Drosophila melanogaster: one gene and its partners. The protein of the gene in region 1 purifies or fractionates together with the protein of each later gene. This does not show direct contact. Each region holds a gene or a part of one and is shown in the gene's direction. Other genes may lie near its edges.

Evidence for each region.
Region 2: the proteins of FASN1 (region 1) and Mec2 purify together in Drosophila melanogaster (affinity purification with mass spectrometry, with the first as the bait; one large-scale study listed by BioGRID). This does not show direct contact.
Region 3: the proteins of FASN1 (region 1) and PCB purify together in Drosophila melanogaster (affinity purification with mass spectrometry, with the first as the bait; one large-scale study listed by BioGRID). This does not show direct contact.

What each region holds. Positions count from the first base shown.
Region 1 is NT_033779.5:3,052,541-3,061,622, forward strand, and holds the start of FASN1 (fatty acid synthase 1), read left to right. Parts: upstream 1-4,448; 5' UTR 4,449-4,567; coding exon 4,568-4,570; intron 4,571-7,064; coding exon 7,065-7,602; intron 7,603-7,689; coding exon 7,690-9,082. Other genes in the region: FASN2 (fatty acid synthase 2), read left to right, coding at 1-2,083, 2,148-2,243, 2,630-2,773, 2,837-2,947.
Region 2 is NC_004354.4:19,186,203-19,192,825, forward strand, and holds Mec2 (Mec2), read left to right. Parts: upstream 1-1,832; 5' UTR 1,833-1,912; coding exon 1,913-2,081; intron 2,082-2,831; coding exon 2,832-3,345; intron 3,346-3,437; coding exon 3,438-3,603; intron 3,604-3,682; coding exon 3,683-3,886; 3' UTR 3,887-3,991; downstream 3,992-6,623. Other genes in the region: CG33253 (uncharacterized protein), read left to right, coding at 1-4, 76-241, 332-571; HP1D3csd (heterochromatin protein 1D3 chromoshadow domain), read left to right, coding at 4,074-4,613; CG7914 (uncharacterized protein), read right to left, coding at 6,299-6,623.
Region 3 is NT_033778.4:9,856,412-9,863,349, reverse strand, and holds the start of PCB (pyruvate carboxylase), read left to right. Parts: upstream 1-1,806; 5' UTR 1,807-1,899; exon of another isoform or gene 1,900-2,205; intron 2,206-2,590; exon of another isoform or gene 2,591-2,980; intron 2,981-6,938.

The sequences.
Region 1 (9,082 bases):
GACTGTCTTCACCACTGTGGGCAGCAAGGAGAAGCGGGAGTTCCTGCTGAAGCGATTCCCCAAGCTGAAAGCTAAGAATATTGGCAATTCGCGAGACACCTCTTTCGAGCAATTGATCATGAGCGAAACCCACGGAAATGGAGTGGAACTTGTGCTGAACTCTCTCTCCGAGGAGAAGCTGCAAGCCTCCATTCGCTGTCTGGCTTTGAATGGCCGCTTCCTGGAGATCGGCAAGTTTGACTTGAGCAACAACACTCCGCTAGGGATGTCGGTGTTCCTCAAGAACACCTCCTTCCACGGAATCCTTCTGGACAGCGTGATGGAGGGGGAGGAGGAGATGCAGCTAATGGTTGCCAAGTTGGTGGCGGAGGGTATCAAGAGTGGAGCAGTGCAGCCGCTGCCTACCACAGTCTTTGCAGAGCAGGAGATCGAGAAGGCGTTCCGTTTCATGGCGTCCGGCAAACATATTGGCAAGGTGGTGATCAAGGTACGTTTGGAGGAGGAACAGCAGGCGGCTCTCCCGCGACTTAGGCAAATTCAGGCCATACCGCGCTCCTACATGCACCCAGAGAAGAGCTACATCTTGGTGGGGGGACTTGGGGGATTCGGTCTGGAGCTGGCCAACTGGCTAGTTTCCAGAGGAGCCCGCTTTCTGGTTCTGAGCTCTCGCTCTGGGGTGAAGAGCGGGTACCAGGCCCTGATGATTCGTCGCTGGCACGACCGTGGAGTTCAGGTTCAGATCGATACCAACGATGTGACCACCGCTGTTGGCTGCCAGAGACTCCTAGAGGTTAGTAATAAGCTGGCCCTGGTTGGAGGTATCTTTAACCTCGCGGCTGTACTACGGGATGGACTGATCGAAGATCAAAGCCCGAAGAACTTTGAAAAGGTAAGTGCACCGAAGCTACTGGCCACCATACACTTGGACAAGATCTCCCGGGAAATTTGTCCTGCACTGGAGTACTTCGTGTGCTTCTCCAGCTTGTCCTGCGGCAGGGGAAACATGGGACAGACCAACTATGGACTGGCGAACTCCACGATGGAAAGGATATGCGAGCAGCGGCAGGAATATGGTTATCCGGGCACAGCGATTCAATGGGGAGCAATTGGGGACACCGGACTGATCATCGAGCACATGGGCAACAACGAAACAGTTGTGGGCGGCACTCTGCCGCAGCGGATGATCAGCTGTCTGGAGACTCTGGACCTATTTCTGCAGCAGCCCCATCCCGTCATGGCCTCCATGGTGGTGGCGGAAAAACGCAAGACGGAGCAGGCCAACCGGCTGAGCTTGATAGCCACGATCGCGAATATCATGGGACTGAGGGATGTAAAGAGTGTCTCCGATAAGACCACCCTCTTCGATCTTGGCATGGACTCGCTGATGAGCACAGAGATCAAGCAGACGTTGGAGCGTCACTTTGACCTGGTGCTGAGCGCCCAGGAGATCCGCCAGCTAACCTTTAGCGCCCTGCGCCAGATAGACGCCCAGGAACCGCCCTCCGCTTCAGTCTCATCGCCCTCAGCCTCTTCCACCCTATCAAGGATCAAGGAGGAGGCCTGCGTGGAGGTCCAGCCCCAGAGCGATGAGACGCGCAAGGTATTCGCCAAGGAAGTATTACCCCAGGAGGTGATGGTGCGCCTTCGGTCAAAGGCGCCCGTGGCCAGCGAGGATCCGGCTGTGTTCTTCTTGGCTCCCATCGAGGGATTCACAATAGCCGTGGAGGCGCTGGCCGCCTCGCTCACCTGCCCCGCCTACGGGCTGCAGTGCACGGAGCAAGTGCCCCTGGACTCCATCGAGGCCTGTGCCGCCTACTATCTGCGCCAGATCCAGAAGCTCCAGCCCCTCGGACCGTACCACATCGTAGGCTACTCCTACGGCTGCCTGCTCGCCCACGCCATTGCTGTGGCGCTGGAGCAGCGCCGCTTCGGGGTCAAGGTCATCATGCTGGACGGAGCGCCCACCATGGCCAGCGGCTATGTCCAGGAGGCCAAGAAGCAGACGGACGACCTCAACCGGCAGCAGTCCATGACGTTGGCCTACTTTGGAGCTCTGCTCGCCGACGTGGATTACAACCAGGTGGTTCCATGTTCCTTGTTGTGCTTGATCCTATAAACCATTCTTATAAATATATTGATCCTTACAGCTACTGCAACTCCTCGATGGAGTCCAGACATGGCCCTCCAAGCTCGACAAACTAGCAGACACTCTGGCTGGTTACACGCAGCAAACCAGAGAAGTGGTGGGTCTCTAGCGATTCTAATTACAATATTGCTTAATAATATATGTGTCAATTAGATTTCCAAACCACCATAAAAGCGTAAGCATTTGTTGAACATCTATCTATTTGATTGATGATTAAGTACTGGCTTAACTATAGTACTTGTAGACTAAGTTGATGCATTTGCTTACACTTATGTGTGTGTTTATAATTTCAAGTAGTATTTATTACAAGTGTGTACTTTTTAACAGACGAGAAAAAGTGCCTTCTAAAAGTGCCGGACAAATAGTTAGTGTATTATTATGGTCCGTATTCTTCGCAATTAGCGTGAGGCACTTAAAAACATATTGTTGCATTATATTGTTTTTATAGACCTAACCTACCATATTATTTGAACATTGTCACAGATCAAGAAGGCCGCCTGCATGTTCAAACAGAAGCTGCTACTTTCTGAGAGCTACAAGGGCGCCAAGCAGCTCCACAGCGATGTGGTCTTGATCAAGTCGGCCGAGCACAATGCGATTATGGCCCAGGACTATGGCCTCAAGGAGGTAAGTGCCTATAAAACCTATCTATAGCATTATTTAATGACCATTTCCCTCCAATCCTTGCAGATTTGCAGTGCCCAGATCGACATGCATGTGGTGGAGGGTACACACAGGACCTTCCTCAAGGAGCCGCACACTCTACAGATCATCGAGCGCGTCCTGCGGAAGCGTCCCTAGTGGAAGGGAAGTAGTTCGTACGATTATGCTGATGAATTATCCTGTAGAACTTAATGTACATATACCCTAATCCTATCAATACACGTAGCAATCGCGCATTGATTGTTTAAGAATAATGAACGCATTCAGTACGGTCGAACTTCACTAATCAGAACATTGTCTAATACAAGATAATTTTCCAAATGTATACTATCGCGAGGCATTTCTCACAAAGTAATTGGCTTATAAACGATCGGAGAAGTTCGCTCGTGTTTCCAGTTTTACTCGCGTGGTACTCGCATGATTTCCACGATGAATCACTACGATCCGAACATTCTGACCCGTGCTGGCTGGCTTTATTGACCCGACTTCGGCGTACCTTTCCATAATTGATAATGCCGCCCACTCTATCGCGCTAGTGATCTCGCCAGACGATTAATAATCGACGAAAAAGTGGTCCGACTATGGCGGGCAAATCAAAATTTCTACATCTCCGTCACGCACACAACAGCTGACCACTTATCGCTGTTAATGCGAATTTAAGCGCCGCACAGAGTCCAGCAACAATAACAGAAGTTTACACCAATAACAGTGGCTTTGGAAATCCGAATTAAAAACACCCTGCTGCTGAAAAAATTTTACGCAGTCTGCTTAAACTAGGACCTTTTTGAAATAATAACTAATTCAATTCGGTTAATTAAATAAGAATTTTCCTTTTTGACACTAGCAATAATATTTATACATATTTTCATTGAACCCACATATGTTTTAATAGGTGCTATAAATATTAAAAACCATTCAATCTAATTGATCAATAACCAATCACTTTTAAGCTTAATAAGCGAAAAGTACAAGTAATGGATTTCAGGTAGATTGTGAATGATCAAATGAAATCGTAGATCCGTGAGTAGATCGCCGGTAAACAGCGGCTTATCAATCAGGTCTACGAGGTAAGGTCGAGGATGTCAGCCCAAGCGGCGGACCGAATTCGAAGTACCCTCTGTAGGGGAAGGGCATCGTGCTACGGTTAACTTTTAACAGCGCGAGAGAGCAGCGCAGCGAGAAGCTCTCCAAAAGCTCTTCTTGGAGGCGGCGGGCGTCATATAAAAAGGCCGGCGCTCACCTGATTCTCGCATTTCCGTTCGTCGCAGCATTCCGTCGTTGTCGTGGTTTTACAAGCCGGTACGCTACGTTTGAATCCCAAAGAACATAACTGTGTGTGGCAGAGTAATTTTCAAAAACTAATAGCTACTAACTAAGCTAATAACGGCAGTCAACGGAGAACTTCGAGTCGAAAGCAGTTTCAGTTTCTGGATTATAACGGTTTCCCCATTCAGTCAGGACCAACTGTAAAGGAACACCCCCCACGAAACTGAATTCGAATCCTCCGCGCAGCCCTCCGCCCGCTCCACTCCAAGAACTCGAAAAACAGCTGTCGAGGAATCGCCTGATTTCTAGGTATGTACAAAAAATGGCAGCCGCAGGAATAAAACAGCCCCTGTTCAAATTTGCGTGTGTGTGTGTGCTGGTGTGCTGAGGAGAAAATGAAAACGAAATTTTCGCTGGACAAAAAGTGAATTGCTAACGAAAATAAGAAAAAAAGCAGAAACAACGGAAAAGTGTGAAAAAAATAGGAGAAAAATGGTTAGATCGAGCGTCTCCAAGTGATCATTCGTCAAGTCGACTAAAAATACGAATTACTAAGTTCGCACTTGCTCTCCAGTGCTTTTGACCTTTAGGACCCATAGAAGTGTTGTTCTACTACTCCAAACGCCCCCCAAAACAGCAGTTCCTGCTGCGCTGAGACACCAAATTACACGCTAATTGCAAGATGTGCGGGCGGCGGTGGGGGGAAGTCCAAGTCCCAGTCTCCTCTCGTCTGCTCCATATAGTAGGGGCTTCGCGATAGGGTTTCCCTTTCTAATTGCCATGCAAGAGCTGCTTAATTTCTACGATTTCCTTGGCAGACATCGTTATAGTCCTTTTGCAATTCGGAAATCCTTGCTAAATATTCCCATGTAAATAAGTCCAGTGCCATTTTTGCAACGAACCCAAACCTTCTGAAATGACAAATCCAACAATTTTCCGGTTGCGTGTGCCATTTTCATTATTTTACAACCATGCTAACTGCACAGCCATTAAGACAGTTACTAAAAATGAAATTTGAAATTGCTTTTAATACGAAAATAGGGAAATCTATCTGCGTATTTAGCTAAAGTCAAGCAAACAAACAAATATTATAAATTTTACTATTATTACATTTGAAATTGCAGTGATAAATGTTGCAATAACAATAAGTTGTTTGCTTAAATACAAAATCAAATTCAAAAGTTAAGCACCTAAAGTAAAATACTTTTCAGAAATTGCTTAGCTCTACCAGCTGAATGCTCAAAAAGTTGAAAGTGAGTTATCAAGCGATCGCTTTGCATAAAACAACAACACCCAGCAACCCATAAAGGCGGCCACACGCCCCAATTCCGCAGCCAAAAACAAACAAGAATCGTGCGATTGTGTGATTGGAAAATTTCGAGTGTCTGGCTAATCTTTATCGGCTAATAGAGTCGTCGCTTCCTGAAGAACACGCGTCCGCCGCCGATCAAACATTTCCGATACAGGTGCACAGTCGTATGAGTAGGCAGCGCTGCCTTATCACTCTTATCACCACCAGGCCGTTTCGGAATCGCCCCATGGCCTAGTCTCAGTCAGAGACGTTATCATCTTGTTCATGAACTTGAAGCGTCACAGGCAGATTCGATTTGCTGGGCTGGGGATGTGGGTTTTTGGGCGGGGGCTGTGCTGACGCGTACAGCAGTACTTTGGGCCCCAATCGATGGCTGCGGGAATGGAACCGAGTGCATAAACAAACACAGTTTAGAGTGGAAAGGGGAGGGGGCTATGTTTGTCACCCGTGTTTACATATCCAATGACGCAACTTTCGCAATATGGCCTGATGATGGATGGATCGATTGGGGGCGGGGGCCATCGATAAATCAATATACGCCCGTTCAATTGCTGTAAAAGGATAGTTCTCACCATCGCATTGCGAGTTTATTCACCGGTAGATCAACCGATCTGGAGAGACTATGAAAATAATACTTCAATGAACTTGAGAAATCACGCCACCTTATCTCACTAAACAAATGGTACACGCGTCGAGCTCGTGTGTCTGTGTGTGTGTGTGTGTATGTACACACACATGGCGGTGGGGACTTTTGGGGCTGCGTCTTGACTATACGCCGCTCTCTTTGGCACCCACCTCCGATTCGGATGCCTATTACAATAGCAAAACATAAACATAGAAGTCTGGCCAAGCCAACGGCCATTTGATAGATAAGCTTGCTGCTGAGTCGCCCGATTTTTACCGGCAATTTGTAGTGGCTACACGCGGAAAAATAGGTTTATTATATGAAAATGGTTCCTGTAAGTATGGTTCCATATTTATATGATCAATAACATTTGAATTTCAAAGAAACTACGGCTGCACGATTCGTATTTCGTTTTGTTCTGAGTGTATTGTTTATTTGTTCTGTGTTGCTGACCGCTCATGTTCTCGCTCTTCCTCTTCTAACGACGCTTTCGGCTTCCCCAGATTTCAGCTTAAACCGACTCCGCCAGCTCCGCTCATTATATAGTTTCCCTTCTTTTGTTGAATCATTCGATTTCGCACATCGTACGAGTTTCTCGGCGAATAAGAAAGCAGCTTGCCGTTCGCGTTGGCTCAGTGTGAGTGTGTGCGGCCTATGTTAACGCGAATGGTGTTGCACTGTTAACGCGACTGCCACAAGTTGCTGTTAACTGTCAACCCAGTCGCTGGCTTCAAAGCAGCAAGCCGCCCATAACAAATAATGCTGTGTGCCGGTATATGCGCGGTCAAAGCTCCGACTGCGCGGCATCACCTGATTTGCAATTTCTACACCAACTTTCCACCAGCTGAACATTCAAACAAAAAACCTAATCGCCCGGCATCCCGCTCCAGAGAGCGAAAGCTCTGCGCTTGCGGGTGGTAAAGAGCTTTTGCTTAACAGCGAGGGGTGGCAGACAAGTTGCAGATGCGGCAGAATGATCACAATTTTAAAATATTTAATACACGAAATGAGTTATACTAACAAGACTTTCGCATCCTCTTCTCCAATTGCAGCCCCTACAACTAAACCTGTTGCAAGCCGTGGACCAGCCGCATCCTGTTGCTTTCAAGCCCAACAATTGCAGCACCCATCAGCCCCAACATTCACCCAGCACCCAGAACAACGGAAAGAGCGCTCGCGCCAATCGTCGTCGACGCCGCAGACGCAACAAGCAGCAGCAGAATTCGCAGCAACCTGACGCCTTCCGTGATACCGACGCGCAGCTAACACCGAGCACCTCCTCGTCCACCCCGCACTCTGCACCCAACGATAGACAGGACCACCTAAACTCCCAATTCAATCCCGAATCCATCAATATGCCCGCCCGATTCGCCGAGGAAGTCATCACCGCTGAGCCCGCACAACGTGCCGCCCCCCAATTGGACCTGGGTGGTGGTCACTATGTGCCCCGTCAGCAGCACCTCAACGATGAGATCGCCATCACCGGTTTCTCCGGCCGTCTGCCGGAGAGCTCCACCATCGAGGAGTTCAAGCAGAATCTTTTCGACGGCGTCGACATGGTCAACGATGATCCCCGCCGTTGGGAGCGTGGTAAGATCAACTACCAATGGACTTCTCATAAGGAATAGCATTCTTTTGAGTAGTTACAATCTAATGTGTTAACAACCTTCGTTCCAGGTCTGTATGGACTTCCCGACAGGATTGGCAAGCTCAAGGATAGCGATCTGGAGAACTTTGACCAACAGTTCTTCGGTGTGCACCAAAAGCAGGCTGAGTGCATGGACCCACTGCTGCGCATGCTGCTCGAGCTCACCCATGAAGCTATTATTGACGCTGGCCTAAACCCAAGTGATCTGCGCGGTTCCCGCACTGGTGTGTACATCGGTGTGTCCAACTCGGAGACTGAGCAGCACTGGTGCAGCGATGCTGACCGGGTTAACGGCTACGGCTTGACAGGATGTGCCCGTGCCATGTTTGCCAACCGCATCTCCTTCACCTTTGATTTCAAGGGACCCAGCTACAGCATTGACACCGCTTGCTCCAGTTCTCTGTACGCCTTGGAACAGGCTTTCTCCGATATGCGCGAAGGAAAGGTCGACAACGCCCTGGTCGCTGGAGCTGGACTGATCCTCAAGCCCACCATGTCGCTGCAGTTCAAGCGACTGAATATGTTGAGCCCGGACGGCAGCTGCAAGGCCTTCGATGAGTCTGGCAATGGATACGTCCGTTCCGATGGATGTGTGGTGCTGCTCCTGCAGCGCACCTCTGCAGCCAGGCGTGTGTATGCCTCCATCCTCAATGTGCGCACCAATACGGATGGTTTCAAGGAGCAGGGCATCACATACCCTATTGGCAAGATGCAAAATCGCCTGATCCGCGAGACCTACGAGGAGATTGGTCTTAACCCCGCCGATGTGGTTTACGTGGAGGCACACGGTACCGGAACCAAGGTGGGCGATCCCCAGGAGGTGAACTCTATCACTGACTTCTTCTGCAAGGACCGTACGACCCCTCTGTTGATCGGATCGGTCAAGTCCAACATGGGTCACTCGGAACCCGCTTCCGGTGTCTGCTCTGTGGCCAAGATTCTGATCGCCATGGAGGAGGGCGTCATTCCCGGTAACTTGCACTACAACAAGCCGAACCCAGATCTTTATGGACTCGTTGATGGACGTCTCAAGGTGGTCGACAGGAATCTGCCTTGGAACGGTGGCATCATCGGCCTGAACTCCTTTGGTTTTGGAGGAGCCAACGCTCACGTTATCTTAAAGTCGAACCCCAAGCCCAAGGCTTTGACCCCCAAGGATGGAGCACTGAAAGTGGTCCTCGCCTCTGGACGCACCTTTGAGGCTGTGGAGCAGTTGCTCGAGTCCGCCTCTACTAATGCCGATGATGATGAGTACCTGCAACTGATCAACGAGATCCACTCAAAGGCTATTCCGAATCACTTCTTCCGTGGCTACGGAGTGGTGAGCAGCAAGGGCACCCACCAACGTGAGGTGATCGAGTCCAACGACGATAAACGCCCTATTTGGTACATCTACTCCGGCATGGGCAGCCAGTGGGCTAG
Region 2 (6,623 bases), on another chromosome or scaffold:
AGATGTGAGTAGCCAACTGCCGAAAGTCGTGATGTGATCATGACATGATCCACTCTATCCATGATCCGCTTGCAGCAAGGACGTATCCTTGCCAACTGCCCTCCAGCGGGCGATGGCCGCCGAGGCGGAGGCAGCGAGGGAGGCGCGGGCCAAGGTCATTGCCGCCGAGGGCGAGATGAAGTCGTCGAGGGCTCTGCGCGAGGCTTCCGAGATCATCTCGGCCAGTCCATCCGCCCTGCAGGTGAGTCATCTTCTTCCATCTGAATCCAACCATCGGACATTTGGAACTGGCCCAAATGGTTTCATTCGTTCCATCTTCTTCTCTACTTAGTTGCGATACTTGCAAACACTGAGCAGCATTTCAACCGAGAAGAATTCGACCATCATCTTCCCGCTGCCCATGGAGCTGCTCACGCCCTTCCTGAATACCCAAGCACACTCGCAGCAGCTGCAACTGCAACACCAGCAGCAGCTGCAACAGCAACAGCAGCAGCATCAGCACCAACAACAACAACATCCTGCGGCTCCTGGCACGCCACTCCATCGACACCCGCACCAACACCACCAGTGACGCTCGATGTCGGTGCTGCAACCATATCTGGAGGCACTGCATCGCTGCGAGCTGCAGCGTCAGCAGAAGCAACAGCGAAGCGGAGCGGCTGCAGCGGGAGCGGCGGATGACGATGACGACATCGTGGGTTTCTTGCTCTAGTGGAACGGCGGCAGCAGCGACAGAAAGCGGAACTGTCCGGAAAATCCGGAAAATGAGTCACCAATGAATTCGAATGAAAGTGCCATGGAATTCCCTAGATTCTGGAGAGATTCAAACATGGTTCGGACTTAAAAATAAATTTTTTTTTTTTAGAATTTATTCTAATATGTCGAATTTAGTATGCAATAGTAACTGAGGCTTTTCCAAGGCTTTTCCTTCTTCATTCACAGTCGTTTTAAGTAGAGACGTTATATTTAAAATAACCAATATTATTTGTTTGTATCTTAAGAATTAATAACAATAGCTAACTACAAACCAGGGTAAAAGCTAACCATTTAAATAAACCAAATGATTCAGAAAACACATTTTTTTTTTCAGTTCTTCCCCCTTTTTCGAAACAACAAAATTTACATTTATATATGATATATATATATGTATGTACATATTTGCTCTTCGCTTATCTAAATAACTCAGATTTGCATGCCACTTCAGCGAGTGTGGCAGATAAGCTCTTCAGTGCTAATGTGACCGCCAGATCAGAATTGAGTCACCATCGGGTGGCTCCAGCCAATGACCCGTGACCCCAAAGCAGAACTGCGTCTCAATGCTCCAGCTGAGATAACCGATTGATTAAAGTGCTAAACGCACTTGGGCCAGATAGAGCTTACTCGGCTTTCATTGATCGTCGGTCGGAATAATCTGAAAGTGTACGCCTCCAGTTGGCAATTCTTTCGGCGCAGTGCAGTGAATCATCCGTGGTGACCCATGGCTCTCGACTTACAGAGCGGCTCTTGGTGTTTCCCCGGTCGTAGATACACTACACTGAACGAAAATTTACGAGCCGATGCATTTACATTCCATTCCATTACATTCTCTTATATGGCATGTGCTCAATTGCTGTGGAGGATGTACGGACTAGAGATCGCCTCTTTCAGTGGCGGCACACTTGGTTCGTGGTGTTTCAGTGCAGTGCTTCTTTTCTCTCACTGTTGAATCGCATTTAAGCCGCTCGGCAGCTCAGCGTAGCGATAATGCCAATGCGATACTTCGTATCTGAGAGAACCAGTGCGCTCTTATCACGTGAGAACGCTTTTGGGCATTCAGTTTGGCTTTTGCGGCGCTGACCGCTGGCGACAGTTTCGAATCCATAGCCGATCGGAGAGCAACGAACGTAGGCCAGAACGGAGCAGAGAAACAGCAATGGAGCCGCACCAGGATTCGCCCGTGTACGCCAACTACGAAGATATGCGCAACTCTGGGCCGGCCAGCTCCACGGCGTACATGGTCAACATGGGCGCCGCCGGCATGGCACCCGAGCCGGCACTTCGAGTGCCCGGCACCACGCAGCAGTATCGTGGATTCAAAACTTGTAAGCGGGCGGAAACGGTGTATACTATAGATGCAGCAAGATGATGACCCATCCCGGCCAATATTAGGAGAATTATTATTGTTAAAAAAAAACAAGTCTTTGCTTACTGTCAAGCGCTAATCACTTTAGATCGATTGAGATACGATTTCTTGGAATCGCTGGTTCAGATAAGATTGCAACAGCATTTTGATCGCGTGAAAAGTTTGTTTTTGGCTCAAAGCATTCTACAATATTTCAGACATGCAAAACCGCTTGATTCGGTTAATAGTATTCACTAGATAGGAGTTCTAAAAATACAAACTATCTCTCGCTTTATCAAAGTAGTACTAGTAGCAATTTGATTTCCATCGTAATCCCACATAATCGTCAATTGCTACAACATTCTAATTGTATTGGCGCATATATATTACACCTGTCTATATTTTTAATCGTAGGAATTTTTATTGGACTCCAAGATAAGCGGGCTGATTGGTGTTTATCCGTGTTTTCTTTTTTTTGATTGTGATGGCTATTGCTTTTCACAGCTTTCTCTTTTTCAAGTTGTTACATAGTCCATCATAGTCCTGTTTTACTTAATAATAAGTTGGTCTCTTCGGAATCCGGACAAAGAAGGTACTTCATCTTGGCCATCGAATTGAAGTGGACTTATCTACGTTTCTCTTGCGGCACAATTATTGTACACATATGCCTGAAATATGGCCATTTTGTAGATGAATATTTCATATTCATATTCCTAACATCCCATTGCAGCGGAGAACGAGCCCAAGGGCTGCATGGAATGGGTGGTCACCCTGTTCTCCGTGCTGATCTTCATCATCACATCGCCCATCGCCATCTTCATATGCTTCAAGGTGGTGGCGGAGTACGAGCGGGCGATCATCTTCCGGCTGGGCAGACTGAGCGGCGGAGCTCGTGGTCCCGGCATGTTCTTCATCCTGCCGTGCATCGATGAGTACCGCAAGGTGGACCTGCGCACGGTTACCTTCAATGTGCCGCAGCAGGAGATGCTGACGAAGGATTCCGTGACGGTCACTGTGGACGCCGTTGTCTACTATCGCATCAGTGATCCCCTTTATGCGGTCATCCAGGTCGAGGACTACAGCATGTCCACTCGCCTCCTGGCGGCCACCACGCTCCGAAATATCGTCGGCACTCGCAACCTGTCCGAACTGCTAACCGAGCGCGAAACCCTGGCCCACAATATGCAGGCCACGTTGGACGAGGCCACCGAGCCGTGGGGCGTCATGGTGGAGCGCGTTGAGATGTAAGTAGCCATTTAGTAGGCATTTGACATCCATCAGATCAGATCAGTATTTCTTAACATCTGTACGTTGTATGCACTTCACCCGCTGACAGCAAGGATGTCTCCCTGCCCGTTTCCATGCAGCGTGCCATGGCCGCCGAAGCGGAGGCAGCTCGTGATGCTCGTGCCAAGGTGATCGCCGCCGAGGGTGAGAAGAAGTCCGCCACAGCGCTCAAGGAGGCATCCGATGTCATTTCCGCCAGTCCATCGGCCTTGCAGGTGGGTGTTGTCCTAGTAAAAGCTGAAATCAATCGTTGAGCACGGATTACCAGCCATTCGAATTTTTCTGTCATCACAGCTGCGCTACTTGCAAACCCTGAGCAGCATCTCCGCCGAGAAGAACTCCACCATTATCTTTCCTCTGCCCATGGAGCTGCTTACTCCGTATCTGGCCAAATATGCCCACTTGATGGGCCCGCCACCGGAACTTAAGCAATCGCCAGAAAAGTCAGATAACATAGTTTTAGACGCACTGGACGCTTGGCCGAAAACCAACCTATGATTTGAATCTAGGGCGTTGCCAGAGTTTGAAAATATTAATGTCTTATTCATTTTTTTTTTTTTTTTAATAAATGCAATTCGCACTAGCTGGCAGCTTCAGCAATCGGAAACTTGCCGCCATTTTTCATTTAACGATTGCACGTGAATTCATTTGGTTTACTTTTGCAAGAGAACTTTATTGCTAAACGATGGCGGACAAAGAAAACAGCCCCAACAACAAGAACACAGGTGGTTTCCCCGCGGAGGAGGAAAAGCAGAAGGAGAACGATCAGCAGAAGGAGAACGATCAGCAGAAGGAGAACGATCAGCAGGAGGAAGTGCAGGAAGAGCCGACAAAGGATGAATCCAAGGAGGCCGGTTCGACGCCGCCTCCAAAGCACATGGGAGTTCACAATTCGGCTCGGGCAGAGCTGGCTCGGCTGCTCGTCGAGTTGTTGGTACAACAGGCAGAACTGGATGCAACCAACGGTGGCAGCGTGTCAGGGAATCTCGATGGCGGCAATTCCAATGAGTCCCAACCGTTGAACGTGCCGCCTACGGATGCGCTCCTGGTCCGCGGCAAAGCAATTGAGAATGTTATGTACAGCTATATGCTTGGTGACACGGTCTACTTCATTGTCACCTGGAAGGGATCCAAGTGGGGGGAAGCCGTGCCTGTTCAGGAGATCAAACATGTGCACCCCAAGCTACTCATTGACTACATTAAGAGCCTGAAGCTACAGGACTGAAAAAACCTCCGAAGCCCGAGGATTTATAATATAACTGGAGCAGATCTCCAAATTGACTTTATCCATTATCATTATCCATCCATGAAGAAAATGTTAAAAGATCTTGAATCAACTCACAGTATTTAAGTTAAATTACTTTATTTTTTTTTTCGTTTTTGTCTTGTAACAATAAGTTTGCTTCAAAATAAAATTATCCTTTTTATTGTTTGTAAGTAATTCAAATTATTTTGTAAAGAATGTTTCGAAATAACGAATTGTTAAGGCACAAACACATTTGTTTCTCAAAATCAAGGTACAGGGTATGTTCAAATTGGTGTTCAGATTATTCCAATCTGAACACCAATTGGGTTGATTCCTAAAATATCATCCACTTGGTATGACTTGAATTAGATTGGATCACTAATAGTCAAATGGAATCATAACCATGTTGTGGACACAGGAGGTCAAATAAAAAGATGACCATAGAGAATGTTTAATGGCAATTGGATTCATAATGTTTCCTTTCGATTCATCCAGTGAATAACCAGACGCTCAATTGTATTAATTACAGCGAAAACCAGTCGGCTTTTTTAAAGACAATTAAATCCCGATCGATACATTTGGTATGAGAATTGCAACTGCAATGCTCAGATTTTAACAAAGTAAATGATTTGCCGACAGCGAAATGGATTGAAGAGCCACCTGGATGGCCAAAACCATATGTTCATTTAGCAGCGATAAGTATAGATGCCCTATAACCAATTAAAAGTAGCAAGTGTGGGCAAAACAGTAGAAGTAGTTGGAGTTACCTGTATTACTGATGATGAAGAAGTGAACTCCTCCTCCTTTATGGAAGTACACATTCCATTTTCGGTACACTCAAATGCTTAATTGGAAGTATAGAAAACATGTAAAAGTTTCAAATGCCAACTAGAGAGAATGCTATAGTCAAGTTCCCCGACTATCAGATACCCTTTACTCAGCTAGTGTGAATGCGAACGCGAAATTTCTGAATTTTTCTGGTATATCGATAGATATTGGGGAATAAAAATTGTTCAAAAGTGTGGGCGTGGCAGTTATGGCCGCTTTAGGGCGTTAGACTGGGTGTGGCAAAAAAAAAATTGTAAATCGATAGAAATTTACACGACTAATAAAATTATTAAAAAATATCCAAAAAAAATTTCAAAAATGTGGGCGCGGCAGGTTTGGGCGGTTTTAGGGCGTTAGAGTGGGCGTGCCAAAGTTTTTTTTAAATCGATAGAAACTTACACGACTTATAAAATAATTTAAAAATATTTCAAAAATGTGGGCGTGGCAGTTTTGGGCGTTCGAGTGGACGTAGCAAAACGTTGTTTGCAAGTCGATAGAAATTAATGAAGACTAATCAAAATGTGAAAAAATATCAACACATTTATTAAAAGTGTGGTCGTGGCAGTTTTGTGCGGTTTGTGGGCGTTAGAGTGGGCGTGATAGCCTTCTAGCATTTATAGTACCTAAGATCTCGACGTTCATACGGACAGACGGACATGGCCAGAACAACTCGGCTATTGATCCAGATCTAGAATATATGTATATCTTCTGTCTGTTACATACTTTTCAACGAATCTAGGGTATAAAAAATATAAAACCCTCGGTATAACCAGTACGATCACAAATTCATTAACAATATTCAAATATTTATAAGCAACTACAGTTTTTCCCGGCATTTACAACATATAAATGTTTGCCGGATCTACGTCCAATGATTGTGTTGCTATTTGGGCGATGTTCTTTTGAAAACTTGAATCTCCAGCCACGATGAGGACACGCTGTCCGGGAATCGCGGGATTGAGGTGGGTGGCCAGTTCGGTGGCATCTAATCGGGACACCTTTGCCGTCTCCTTGTAGCGTAGATTGTCCCGGAGCTGAGGGCACTGCTGGGCACAGTGGCCCGCCTCCTGGCAAGCGGAGGAGTCACACTGCTGATGCGGCAGGTAGAGGCAGCTCCTGTAGTTCCAGAACTGGGCGAACTCGAGCATCTCCTCGCGGAAG
Region 3 (6,938 bases), on another chromosome or scaffold:
TTGTATTTTTAGTACAAATATACAATTTTAAAGGTATCGTAAAATTGGTTTTGGCAAAAATCTGAAAATGTAACTAAAAACATTCCCTTTAGGTAAGTGTTACCGTTTCAATAAAGGTTATATCGTATGGGTATATGGTTTTAATAATAGATTACTTGAAGGTCGCAGCGATCAGCCTTTTACTTCACATTTGTCATATATCAAACCCAATATGAAGTAGTATCAACTTTGGACTTTGATAAATTTATTCTTAAAAATTAATTAACTGTCTTTTTCTTATCACAGTACTTGTTTTTTTATCCTTAGAACGAAATTCATAAGTTATAGTCCAAGGCTCTTAATTATTATGGTTTCGTACCGCAAAAAAACTTGTGGTTAAAAGGCTTGATAATTTAACACATTGGCATATTTAAACCATAAATCGGAGGAGTTAAATCAAACCAAAACGTTATCATTGTCAGCATGAGAAAGTTCAAGTACCAAAATAAGCGGCACGTGTATAATACTGTTTTGGCTTTGACACCTTAAACGCAGCGACTAACGAATACTCTTCTTCGAACATAACCAATAGTAATCTTGTATCGACCTATAGGCACCATAGAAGAGTGTAATCCCCACGAAGGCAGAGTATTAAAGTTTAATTCCCGCCTTTGGAGCTGATAAGATATGGTACGTCCAGTAATTGGGAATGACTGGCCGGTTTTGCACCATTGGCCTGATAGCTTATAAAAGATTTCCATTCAGACGGAGGCGTGGCCCTCTTATCAGCTCACCAATACGCTAAAATCGCCCAGCAGCGTGTGGAATCTTTTTGGAGGTGGTAGTTAATCCAATAGGTTGATAGATTTCTTCAATCTTATCTCCAAGCTTTAATGGTTTTCAATTGCTTCTTTGGTAGCAAAGTTTATTGAAATGAGGAGCCTTCGAGATAGATTGGCAAATATATATATTATAAACATGAGATCGAAATAAATAATCGATTATAAGCCCCACTAGCACATTCTTTCGGCCGCAGATACCCTACACTTCCTCAGTGCAGCATTATCGGGCATACGATAGTACATATATCTATATCTGTATTTTACACATATATGTATGTTTATGTTTCTGCCGACGCTCATACACAACATCATTCTTGTTGGCCCCTTTTTGATTCTTTCTGTCTGGTGATAAGACTGCCCAGGTTTGTTATGGCCACAATCGCGCGTGCCGCAATATAAAAATAAAAATCTCAAAACCACCGATATACACGTGTCTACCTATATATATATACGCCATACACATATACACACCGGCAAGATCAGTTTTTTAGCGAGGGAGCGCGAGAATCTGCTCACTGAGCCGATGATACTGGCGATAATTGGGAGCGTAGGCGGGCTCCCGCTCCTCTCTTCTCCTCTTCTCTCCTCTCACTCACTCGTATCAGCGCCAGATCTGGACATCCATTGGGAGTCGTACGATTCCTCTGACTCGTAGACCCACCGGCTGTTCATATAATAAGTTCCACGCGTCCGATCCCGACGCCCAGACCATTCGAATTCACTTCACTGTTGCGACACAGCGAAGCAACAACAAGCTCATAATGTTCTGAAAGTTTCCACGAGCATAATAGATCCATATCAGGGTTGTTTCGTTTCCATTTTTCATCCGTGGGCATTGTGGAAACAAAGAAGTATATCCTATTATAATATATTATGAAAATAAAGGATTTAATTGCAAGGACATGTAAAAGGAATCTTAGCGATTAGACATCATTAAGAAGGTTACTTTATTTTCAGTAGGCTATTTTCATTCGATTATTCATCAGTCATAATCAAAATTTTAAGTTTCAAATTATCTTATGGCCGCCTTTTATAAATTACAGCTCTTCTAAATTATCTTTATGGTACGAAAAGTCAAGTAAGTCTATAAAATTTGGTGGAGTTTTCAGGCTTTCGAGACCTGTGCCATTTTGGGGCTCGGTGCACAGCTGTTGCTCTCTCCGCCCGCCTTCCCCTCTCTCCTCCTCCAAGGAACCAATGTCAAAAGAAAGTTCTCCGGTGCGACCGGCAAAAACAGCTTTGCGCTAGGCCAAAGTTCGTTGATGTTCCAGTCTCTTTACTGGGTGACATTGGGGTATATCAGATCCGTGCTAAGTGGGTAACAGCTAGATGAAAGCCTTAGTGATTTCCATACGAATTTCATAGTGTCATTTTAAACTTAGCCTTTCAATGTGTTGGATTAGAAGTGAGGCAAATAAAGATGCAATTCTGAGATTATAATATATAATTAATATATAAATATACTTTGTATAACTCAACTATCCTATGGAGATATTAATTGGGTATAGTTAGATTTTACGATTTATTACATGAAATGCCCACAATTCGTTAGCCAGATTTGATATGTTAGCTTTGGTAGCTAAGAGGTATCATAGATTCGATCCGCCCATTTCTATCGAGAACAAATCATTGCCGGCAGGGAGCACGCGCAGACATCGAAACTGCGAGAGGAGCCTCACAGATTGGGAGAGAACGTTAATGTTCCCATTGAAACCACCACGACCACTCTCCCACGGAACTAGTCGAAAGTTTCGAGTTTGTGCGCTCGACCAGTCCGACGGACAGCTTTGAAGTGAACGGTTCGCGAGTTCCTGGGCAGAAGAGAGAATCAGAGTGCAGCAGAGCAACCGTTTGCGAATTCGCGCTGTTCTACCTACATAGACCAAAACCAAACCAATTCCAAGCAAACCAAACCAAACGCAACCCCGAGACCAAACGCAAAAAAAAGAGGCCGGCAAGTTGACAAAACCTCGCGCACATAGGATACATAGGAACCGTGAATTTGTATGTGCTGAGCGCGGTACATAAGCTAAAGAAACCACGTTGACTCACGACCCGTTTGAAATTGTTTTGTAGTGCTGGAGCAGCGATTACCCACTTTGCGCCAGGACAACGACAATAGGCGCAGAGCGCTCCTTCGGAACTTTCGCCATCAATAAGTAAGTCGCCGGTCGGTCGGCGGACTGCGTCTATCGATCAAGTGCATAGCCATTTAATTGCATAATTTGTGCTCAATTTCTTCTTCCACTCGGTTCGGCTGGTTTCTTTCCCCAGCCCTTTCTCGCCGTCCAACCATTGTAATTTGCCATCGTCACTCTCTGGCAGACATGTGTTAATTACATTTTATTCTATTCTATTCCATACCATGCCATACCATGCCATACCGCACCATACCATGTCGTAGCGTAGCATACCCCCATGCCCCCAAACACACACCCGTGCGATAGACACCATCCCAGAGAGGGAAATGTGGCTGTTTTATTTTCGGACTCATCCTACTTGCTGCCCAATATTTATGACCTTCTTATGGTTTCGCCATTGGGGAAACGTGTTTGTCGCACATAGATCCATAATCTATACGTAGTGTGCGCGATTACTCGGAAATTATCTACATATCGTGTGCAGTGTGATCAGGGATTGCGAACGGGGGTGATCCGAAATTTAACCAGTTTATGGGCACAGTTTGATTTGTTTGATTGCTATTGATTCGCCGGGACCGACAGGCCGTCACATATACTTGTATGGAGAGCTGGACCCGGACTAGTCAATGTCAAAGCTTCGTCTCTATCAGCTTTTCGTTTGGCGTGATAAGGTCTAGAGTCTAGACAGGCTGCTCAAGTAAATATAAGGTTTTCGAACGAATGTAAGATCTCTGTAACTTTTGCTGGCAAAGAGAGAGTTTTGTTAAAAAATAGAAGATCCTGGGCGACACGAGTTAATGGCCATAGACTTAATTTTCTAGCGAAAATATAATATAAAAAATAGAAGATCCTGGGCGTTCCATCTCCTTATCAATCATTGCTATTTATAGTTTTTCTTTTTAGTTCAGAATGCGGATTATATAACTTCACATCTGGAACTGAAATACTGAATGCAGTTTAAGAAAACAACTAGTAATCGGAAGTAGAAAAGTCCATCTATTCTTATTCTCACATTTTGGCGACAAAATCAATGTACGACCTACATTCAAAAGCGACTTTGACCTTAGCAGCTTGTCGTTCAAGATCATACGTTTGTGGAGCAAGAAAAATAAATAAAAATAAAATCATAGCACGCACATTTTCCTGTGCAAAAGTTGGTGAACAAAAGCAAAGCGTTCAAGTGACTGGGGCATTCCAGTACTATTAGTGTGTAGTTAGTTGGCTATCATGTTATTATTACATAATCGCCCATTCCGATGGGCAAACACAATCGGGCTTCGGGTGGGTTTTGGCTGAGTTTTGGTTGGGTTTTCGTATGCCGTGTCAACAACGTTTTCGTGTAATTGCATGAGATTGGCCCTGACAGCGCCCACTTTTCTTTCAGAAAATATGAGGCAACACACCCAGTCAACAAGCAACAGGATAATTGATAGCCTGCAAATATTGCCAGAAATACAGCACAAAAAAAGGTGCTGAAGCTATCCCAGAAATACCTGAAATAAACCCTGATTTGCATGCGAAAATACGTGTTATTTTCACATCATGCTAACCAATTGTAGACATGCATTCTTCACTTTATTCCGATGCTAATGCGCTTTAATTTTTAAATACAGCAGGGGAGCCAGTGATCCGGTCTTCAAATAGTTTAAATTCTAATTGAAACGTAAATAGATATAGATTCTTTATCGCAGATCGATATTTAAATTATTTATTGAAAATCCTTTTCATTCTTACGAAAGCGATAGGAGAAAAGCTTCCGATTATAATTTCCGCTTGCGGCTAAGATTAGATTTGCCACGTTTCACAGATACCAGTTTCAAAACTTTTATTAACCTAAAAATAAAGATTATTTCTAAACAACAGAGTGCTTTCTATCAACTCACAACGACTTCTTACTCCCCGTGTAACTTTTAGAGCAATGATGTTATAAAGCTTAAGGAAACTTATATTCTGATGTTATCAGGATTGAGTTTCAAAACTTCGAGCAGAGTATTTTAGGGATGTGGCTATCTTTTATCATTAATAGCATTCTTAAGGTCTGCGTGTCGAGTGCTTCTTCCGCTCCATAAGGTGACATTGGGCTTATCTTTCCAATAATACTACCAATGGGGTTTGAGCAACTTTGTTGGATCTAGTAATTTATAACACAATCGTGAGGTAATGCGGTGCAAATTAACAGAGTTAGCAAACAAAATTGATGCTAAGAGAGGAATATTTAATTAGAGTGGACCAAACTAAAGATTTCCATCACGTAGCGACTATTTATAGATCCCAAACAGGGGGGCCATATAGATGTGCACTCCCACTGGGAATGATAATATTTACCAGAGTCCGACCTCTGATGTGTTAATAAAGCGGGCTTATCGACTGGTCATTATCTGCACCTGTGTCACACATCAAATACATATGTCAACATGGGTTCTAGATTATCTATGGGCTCCTCGGACCACTGCGACCCCCTTTCATTGGGGCATGCACTTCACGTGCGGTTGCGAGGACCCCCACTTAATTGCAACTACTCATGGTAAACACTCCCTTTTGCTGGCCAAAAATAGAGGCGATAGGAGAATGGTTATCAAACCGATTATCGCGGGGTCAAGATTCCAAAAGATCTCCTTTGGATTTCGTTCACCTGACCAGTTCTCCTCTCTTCTGCTTTAGTTTCCATCGCACTTTAAGTAGGTTTCTGTCTGGCATAGAAAGTGGACTTTGCCAACTCGTTTTTGTGCAAGCAAAGACGAGCCCCCACAGAGGTCTACAGACTAGAAAGTACTCACTAGTTGAGTCCGATTTGAGTCCGGAATCTGAATTGCAAAGCCGGTCTCTGACGCACCCGTGCACCACTAAGCGTGTCCGTATGTCTCTATATGTCTGTCTGTCTGTTTCATCGCTGACGGGGGCTACAAAACCCATTTGAATCGCTGATAATGAGCAAAACACCCTAAAAGCTAACAGACATAAAATAAATAAAATATGTTATGGCATGTGCGGCATAAGCGAACTGACAACCAACGGACAGTGGATACTCTTCCCTTAAATTTGTTGCTCAAAATATGTAATCTTTAGTATGTACTCATTTTTTCCGTCTTAATATGACTAAGTATGTATGTACTAATCAATATAAGCTAACAGCTTTAAACAATAAGAATAAGCTTAGAAAACTTTTACATATATCTATAAACTACAAGTGCACATATATACTAATGAATTGAGATGTGTATATGGATAATGATCTATCTATGTCTCTTTTATTACCTATCCACTGTTTATCCAAACGGTTAGATCCACTGAAAATATCCGATGAACTTCAAGTGCGAAAACGTGCTGCAGCAGTAGCAAATATTTGTTAATCTATTACTAAGCTAATATACGTAATGGTTGTAAAATAGGCAGTATTAATACTTCAATTAGGGGAATTTTTCGGAGTTTACAAGCAAAACGCATAAGAAAACACAAGCTGAAAAGCTGGCATTTAATTGTACAAGTTTGCCGTGCATTTTTAAAACCTGCTTTGAATTTTGATCACGTGAGTCAACTCATGTTAATGAGCAGACCGATTGTTCTGTTTAGTGGAATAACACCGAAGTACCAAGCGGTGGACTTTGGTCAGAAGATTATAATTGTACTTAGGCCAACAGATGCGGTCGGAATTTTAGAAACCCAGATTCCCAAGAGGGAACCACTCTTTACTTTCAAACAAAGTCCAGAATAAAAAAATGTACTCTACCTTTTTTTATATGGTATTAGCAGTCGTTGTAACCCGTCGTGTTCTTAAATTTCCAATTGCAATAACTTCAAAACGAGACCTTCTAGATCCGCTTGTTTGTTTGTTTGTTTTTTCGAAAGTAATGTCGATAACCTTAAGGCATTTGTGGCAATCGAGCTTTCGAAATTAACAGATAATTAACGCGTTTAATGCAATCTCTCAATCGTAAAGCAGAGCGTTCATTATTTCAAATATTGCCATTGATGATTT